Linked DNA regions of Bombyx mori. The protein of the gene in region 2 purifies or fractionates together with the protein of the main gene of each other region. This does not show direct contact. Links are inferred from orthologs where the notes say so. Each region holds a gene or a part of one and is shown on either strand. Other genes may lie near its edges. The genes, in order: neuralized-like protein 4 and zinc finger CCHC domain-containing protein 10.

Region 1 (3,830 bases), on a different chromosome or scaffold from region 2:
TGAACTGATTTTTTTTAAATACTGAGTAGTAGTGTCATTTAACAAATAAACTAAGGCTCATCAATAGCTATTAGGCAATGAACTGTCTGTTGATAATACAGGACATTGTACCTAACTTTTTTGTTTATTTTTATTTTATTGCTTTTGTAGGCCCCTGTGAGTGTACGGCCCACCTGATGGTGAGTGGTTACCGTGGCCCGTGGACTTCAGCAATGCCAGGGGCAGGGCCAAGCCGCTGCCTACCAAAGTATAATAGAAGCGTGTTAAAAAGATAGTCACATGTCAGAGAACGAAGTCGATGTGCAGGGTACGTCTACTAGAGCACGTGGTCTTCGCACCGAGCCGCTCTCCCCGTGCGCGGCCTGCGCTGAACCCAGAATGTTCCTCGACACGTTCCAGAAGCCACGCTGAGCCGCTCCCACACCGTCTATACGCTCGATGCGAACCCAACCTGAATTGTTAACAAGGTATTATAAAACCTAATAGTACACGCCAAACGTATTCGATAGTTGACATATCTTTAAATTATTACGTGAAGCAAAAACTTTGTATCTCTTTTAACGAAAATTTCGCGGACGGAGGAGTATGAAATTTCCCACGCTTATAGTTTATATAGAGAAGGAGTGCAGAATGCTAATATTTTTTCGAAATTATGCATTAAAAATACACTAAATTAATAAGAAAAACATTGTACACACTACCATGTTTTTGACACACACACGCATATATACTCTTTTGTTTATTGTTTTTTTTATTGCTTAGATGGGTGGACGATCTCACAGCCAACCTGATGTTAAGTGGTTACTGGAGCCCATAGACATCTACAACGTAAATGCCGCCACCCACCTTGTGATATGAGTTCTAAGATCTCAGTATAGTTACAACGGCTGCCCCGCTCTTCAAACCGAAACGCATTACTGCTTCACGGCAGAAATAGGCGGGGTGGTGGTACCTACCCGTGCGGACTCAAAAGACTCAAAAGAGGTCATATCACCGGTAAATTAATGATGATAATTAATTAGTGATGATTTGAGAATTTACCTATTTAATTGTTTCCATGTTCGAGTTAATTTCGGCGTTGTGTGATTCAATCTACACAAACGCATAAACATACAAGGAATGAATTGGTTGTGAATATTTCATACAATATTATGTATAAATATTATAAAAATATTTGCTAAGGCCCGGCGACCACCAACTCAGTGTCCAGTGGGCAAGAGAATGTATATACTTTACGTAAAACTCGTCACCTTGCCCCCGACCGGTTTCGGGTGATTTTATTAGTAGAATTCTACTAATAAACTGTACTTTATTAGTAGAATTCTACTAATACATGTAACTATACTGAGACCTTAGAATTGATATCTCAAGGAGGGTGGCGCATTTACGTCGTAGATGTCTGTGGGCTCCAGTAACCACTTAACACCAGGTGGGCTGGGAGCTCGTCCACCCATCTATCAATAAAAAAAAAATTCAAATTCATGACAATGCAATACATACTAACCAGCAAACGGAGGCAGTAAGTCCGGTTGGCAGTTACTGCAGTAGCACCGTACCTGGCCCCAGGACACCGCCTTTCGAAGTTCAGGGTACGGACAAACCAAAAAGTTCCAATACTTCAAAACAAGATGCAAGTGCTCACAGCCTTCGCCTGACGCTTCCCACTCGGACTCCAAGCTCTGACCTTCGTCCATCTCTTGATCGAAGCACAAGATGCGATTGAGGTAATTCAAGTTCTCAATAGATAGCTGCTCGGACCATAGCTCGTCGCGGCGCGTCGATTCATCTAAAGACGACGATTGCTCTTCGGTTAGATCAGGCAAATTACCAGTTTCCAAAGTGAGAGCGTCCATTATCTCATTATCCAAATTATCGACATCGTTCGCTTCGGGATACCGATCGTTATGGCGAATGTTCGTATCGTAAAACTGTCCGTGCGACAAGCTGTCCGAGTGATCCGCTATCTGTGAGCCTACACTGTACGTATGACGTAACACCTTTAGTTCGATATCGTCTTGTATCAGACTAAAATTATGAGAGGAATGACTCTTGTGAATGAAGCGCGACGATGTAGATGTATCACAGCTGTTTGACGACATCGTATTGTCTGACATTATCAGGCTTTGGTGTAAAGAGAGCTGATTGGGACATTGTCTCTTGCGTCTTATCGCTGGATTCTTCGTCTCGAAGTTACTGAGCGGAATGCATTCTAGAGGCAGGATATCGCGTCGGGAGCTGGGTCCGGGCTGAGCCGCGATAGGTTCCAGCTCGTCCTCGATGAGGTTGTCGTGGCTATAGGCTTTCAGTTTTCGACGGATTCGCATTTCGGTCAAATTGGTTTCGAATAATTCACGAGTTGGTTCTTCATTCATGTCGAGATCCGACATCGATTCTTCTCTTTGATTTTCAGCTATGATGGGTAGGTCGATCGAAGTGCCGCTCACGACCACGTGAGGATGCAACAGTACAGACACCTAGAATTTGAATTCGAGGTTTTAATTAAGCTGAAATGGCGGTTATCCTTGTAGCGTTACCGGTCTTATAAATCAGAACGCATGATTTCTTTGCACCAGAAACGAATAGGACAGTGGTACTAACCTACAAGGGCTCACAATATGCCCTACCATCAGTACTCCATTGCAAAAAAAAACGGGGAAAGCTAAACAAGGTTTACAGGTTAAATCGGTTATAGACAGATTGCAGGGTAGTAGTGGCTTGAAGAATGCTGGGTTCAGTCATACTGATTCATAGCCGGATTATATAGTCCGGACTATATAGTATCTATATAATAGGGCAGGGGTCATCAAATTGCGGACCGCGGTCTTCATCCGGACCGCTGATCGATTTTGTGTGGACCGCGAAAACACAGCAACTCGTACTACTATGCACGGAAATTTCCAGTGAAGAGTTCTAGATAATTTTGTAAAGCAACATTTTCGAAAATGAACTTCATCAAGAATAAATTTCGATCTCGACTTACTGATGAACATCTCTGGGAATTAATTAAAATATCTTGCACTAATTTTTCTCCGAACTTCAGACAGATAGTCCGTTTCAAAAATATTTCATTTTTATCATTTATATGTAAAAAAATACCTTTGTTATTTCCGTACATTTGATTACTAAATATATATATATATTTTTTATAAAATGTACGGCGTTGCGCGATTGTCATTTCATTTCTTAAAACAGACTCCGAACTAAGCTAATTAGTGACCCCTGGTCTAGCTAGGGTCGCACGGCATTAAGATCGATTCGAATCGATAATACAAACTCGTACTCACTTGAGTGACGCGACCGTAAAGATCGATCAGGGGGAAGACGTGACAAGCATTCCTTGAAACAGCGCCGATGACTCCGAGCGGCTCCGAGTCGATGTCCACGGCAATGTCGCTGTTCAGCCTGAAGTGTATAGTGAGCACCGACTGCTCCGTCAAGTTGTCTAAAGGTGCACCTCTCTTTGTCTTTATCTAAAACGATAATGATTCTTTAATACCAACAAGTAATAGTAGACGAATTTTAGCACTTATTTTTTGATCTCGACATCTAAGGGGACTTATACTGTTATAAGTTATGTGGTTGGTACCATAGAGTCATCAGCCACCAGAACAAAAAAAAATATTAATATTAGTATCAGAAGAAGATTAGATTTTGTATTGCCATTCTAGAATTAACATATTCTGACTTTTTCTTTCAGGCAAAGCCGCCATAGTTGTTTGTCTATGGATGGTGGAAGCCACCGATTGAGTAGTTCAAAAAACCTGACTTCGGTAGTACTAAAAATAAGGCAAATACTCCACAATATTACAAAACTTCACACCATTTCTACT
Region 2 (4,340 bases):
CACTACCAGACGAGCTCGAACCCTCCGATGACGAATCAGAAGAGCTCTCCGATGAGCTCTTGTCTGAGCAGTCTTTGCAGTCCTCTTCACGCTTTTTCTTGTTGGGTATCTTGCAGCTGCCATTGCTGTGAATAAAACACCATGTTCAATAAACATCTAAAATAATTGCTTTATTTATTTAGAAAACACTACAAAAAATCTGCATGATATGTTAAACATAAGTTCTACTAAAACCAAACAACTTTTCAAAATTTGATTAAGTGAACATATTAGTTCAGATATCAATGATAAACTAACATTTTACCATCGGACAACTTCATATCATATATCTTACACAACCTCTGGATGACAATGTTTCATGATCTGTTAATGGTGTGCTTATTATTGACCTATTATTTAATTACAATGCTTGAACTTATTTACAAGTAGCTTCTGCAAGCACCTTCACCCACATCAAAAGTAACTTTCCCAAGATGAAAATTTACCCAAATCTGGTCAACAGATTATACTTAATTGAGTATAAAACATGCTAATATTTTCTGCATTTATGCATTTATAATGTTCATATCCCTCATATTAAACAAAAACCACTGATTCCAAGCTACATTATGTAGTGTTTTAGTAAGGGTTGTATAAAAACAGACACACACTGAACTGACTTGTTACCAACATTTGTGCTTTTAATTTACACTGGTGGTAGGACCTCTTGGGAGTCCGCGCGGGTAGGTACCACCACCCCGCCTATTTCCGCCGTGAAGCAGTAATGCGTTTCGGTTCGAAGGGTGGGGTAGCCGTTGTAACTATACTGAGACCTTAGAACTTATATCTCAAGATGGTTGTAGATGTCTATGGGATGGTGGGCTGTGAGCTCGTCCATCCATCTAAGCAATAAAAAAATAAATAATAATAATCAACCATAATACATTTTAAACAAAGCCTGAATATATTTAAACCTTAAAAATGTAACAGAAGTTAAAACATTTATGTTAACCACACCACAATAAAGAGGACTAATTTGTTGCAATATCTTTGCACCACATTATATGATGTATTATTTTGACCTGTGCAAGTTTTGAGCATTTGATGCCCTTGAAGATCTAATATATGAAAGTATATTTGATATATATAAGAAAAGCAAGAAGTACCCAGATGAATTCCTGTGACATCAGCATTTGGCCCTGGCTTCTATTAATAGTAATACTGAAAATAGCTATTCTTAAAGAAAACTGTAATACAGGTACAAATAAGCCAGGGGCCTTTCAATTTTATCATATAAAACACAGATAGCCAACCCTTAAACATACCCAATCCTGTAGACTGAATGGTAAACAGTTGACATCGCCCTAAACACGTCATTACAGATCCCTCCCATTCATTAACGGTGCTTTTAGGTACCACAACCACTGTTTACCATCAGTGACCGTGAATTAACCCATAGACACAGCCCACTAAGTTTCTCATCGGATCTTCTCAGTGGGCCGTGTTTCCGATCCAGTGGTAGATTCCACTAAGTATTGCTCTTGCTAGGGCCAGTGTTAGCAACACTCCCGGTTTGAGTCCCGTGAGCTCACCTACAAGTCAACAAGCTGAAATAGCCTCTGAAGGCTATCAGCATAGGTAGGAAAAAAGTACCCTTAAATTTCTTTAGAACAAAGAAGCTTTAACATTAATAATCTGCATCTTTAATCAAAGCACAGCAATGAAATCATGGCTCGATCTAAAAAGTACCATGCCATTTAGCTAGAAAATCAGAATAATAATGATAATTTTACTAAATATATTATATTAAATTTAAATAACATTAACATTGAACTATTAGCCCTTAGAAAAATTACTGGGATTAGTGTGTTTTATAATTAAGGCAGTGTCATTTATTGTTGAAGTCCAGAACTAAAGTTTTCTTAAAACTAACACTCGGGAATAAAATATATCCTATTACATTCAAGATCAAATTCATGTTAAACAAGATGTTATGATGTACAAGTTGATGTCAGCAGTTATTCATAAGACAGACATGTAGGTATTAAAGTTTTGAAAGCATTTGAAATAATTTTTAGAATGAAATAATTATTGACTTCAAAACTACCAATTTGAATAAATTGGGTAGGTATGAAGTCATCATATAACTTTCCCACCATCTACCCTCCACAAAAGTTAAATTATAAATCAGAATCACATTTTTTTATATAAAATGAAAAAGTATCATGGTTACCTAGAGAAACTTCGTAAGCTATTAATAGTTATTTAACAATATAAAGATTACCAGTATAAAAGCATTAGGTAGATCATAACAAAATATGGAGGGTGGTTCTAGAACTTTATTGAAAGACGAAATTGCATTTTACCTGCATTGACCTTCTTCTTTGGCTTTCAGATTCTTATGCATGATTCGTGTACGTGAAGGACGAACTAGGATCTTGCGTTTGCCCTTGCACTCATAGCTCCAGTGTCCAAACTCCAAGCACTTCTGGCATCTTATGCCTTGAGGAAAAGCAGCAGCCAGAGCTGCTTGCCTAAAAAAAAGAATATCAGTCCAGGTTAAATGGTATTTTCATGATAACTAATGTTGGAAGAAAATTTGTTCCTTACTTTTTCCTCTCAGCCTGATGCCTGTTATATGTTCCCAGAGTCATATTCAGAATCTCAAAGGGAAAATTAACAAGATTAGGGGGTAGTTAAATATATGTTTAGAATTGTACTGTTCAAACTGCAACAGGTCTTCTATTAAAATTTATCGCATAAAAAGCGCAAACACAAGTCGAGGATGTGGAAATGCGTCTGTCAAATTTATAAACAAAAATATAGTAGAATATTGTCTATGGAAACCCCTTTGCAAATCCCACATGCACAAATGAAAAAAAATAGTTCATGTAAATGAGTAAATTCTCAATAAAGCTTAAAAATAAATTATGAAAGTCTGAAAAAGGAAATAGGTTTTGGTGGCGGATATCCATTTCACCTCTAATGTGAATTTTAGGAATGTTACGGATTTACACAGCAACCTGAGCTTGAAACCTTGCACAGCAACCTTGAAATTACATTTTCTGACGGAAACGCAGATATCTGCTCTAGATGATATCTGGTAGGTTTAAAATATCACTGCTACTTATTGGAGTACAACTATCGCTTAATATGGGGGCTGTATCCGAATCTACACTTGCTTGCCACCTGCAGATGTGGTGGACCTAGGAGACTGTAACGGTCACTACCAAAAGTGGTTGGGACCCAGGACCATTGACATCCCGGTTCGGGCTGTCTATGATTTCTTCTCGGCCTACGGCCTCTCCCAGCTCGTGACACAGGCCACCCATTTCTCAGATTGTGAGGAATCTCATCCAGGTTACCATACCACGCTTTCACCTTGGTCATCGGAAGATATCTGGGTGTCGAAGAATTTTGCAATAAATGTATGTCAACGGACTGTGATGGAAAGCGTGAATTACGCACATCGTGGTTGGTTGTTTATTACTTCTTCTGAGGTACCTGTTAGAGGTCAGAAATGTCCCTGATCTAATAAAACTAGTAAGGATATTGTACGCTTCAGGCGGGCCGTATACGCGGCCTAGTCCAGTCATTATAGGGGGTTAACCTCAGAAAATTGACATATCCAGTATATTACCACATAAAAAAAAAAATATTTTGGCATCCTACAACTATTTTCAAAATTCACATAAAATGTAAAGACAGCGGTCAATGTAAAAAAAAATTTTTTTTATTTTATTCTGGCGAAAATCTCGTTTTCCATGGGTTTTTTCCACGCTATTTGTATTTATTATTGTGTATATTAGAGAATTAAATTCCCTACAATACTGATAATAATCTAACTTTTCTATTTAACATTTTTTTATACCTTGAACTTGTGGCATTTCAGAACGCACATTTTTATGATGCGTAAGCCGGAACTCACCAGAGGTAAAAGATTAAAGTCTGTGACACGGGACCTTTTTACCGCCAAAAATTTAAAACGTAAAATAATTTATAATGTGTTTAATAACTAATATAATATTATAACTTAGAATTGTTTATGCCGCTACAACAATAAAAATTCTATTGTTTCAACTATGGTGTTAATTACATAAAATACGACTTTACGGCGAAATAAAGAAAGGACCCTATATGGACTCCCTCAAACTGCTTTCAAGATAAAGGGCGTAGAGCGTGCGGTCAGAGAATTATCTTAGGTCAACTGGTAATCTCGATCAAAAACTCGTAATATTAAGGCTATAATTTATTGCTAAATATATAATTATCATTTAACATATCATTATCAATACATGACGTAACACGTCATAAAAAGAAATAAAGTTTTTCTAGGTAGCTATTTGTTGTGAGTGCTCAAC

What was found.
Region 1: the proteins of zinc finger CCHC domain-containing protein 10 (region 2) and neuralized-like protein 4 purify together in Homo sapiens (co-immunoprecipitation; 3 studies listed by BioGRID and IntAct, with this or other methods). This does not show direct contact. The link is inferred for Bombyx mori from reciprocal best matches to the Homo sapiens genes ZCCHC10 and NEURL4.

What each region holds. Positions count from the first base shown.
Region 1 is NC_085107.1:10,103,313-10,107,142, reverse strand, and holds part of neuralized-like protein 4, read right to left. Parts: intron 3,471-3,830; coding exon 3,285-3,470; intron 2,475-3,284; coding exon 1,505-2,474; intron 452-1,504; coding exon 280-451; intron 1-279. UniProt on the Homo sapiens protein: Promotes CCP110 ubiquitination and proteasome-dependent degradation. By counteracting accumulation of CP110, maintains normal centriolar homeostasis and preventing formation of ectopic microtubular organizing centers.
Region 2 is NC_085113.1:10,857,048-10,861,387, forward strand, and holds the start of zinc finger CCHC domain-containing protein 10, read right to left. Parts: upstream 3,033-4,340; 5' UTR 2,634-3,032; coding exon 2,590-2,633; intron 2,514-2,589; coding exon 2,346-2,513; intron 126-2,345; coding exon 1-125.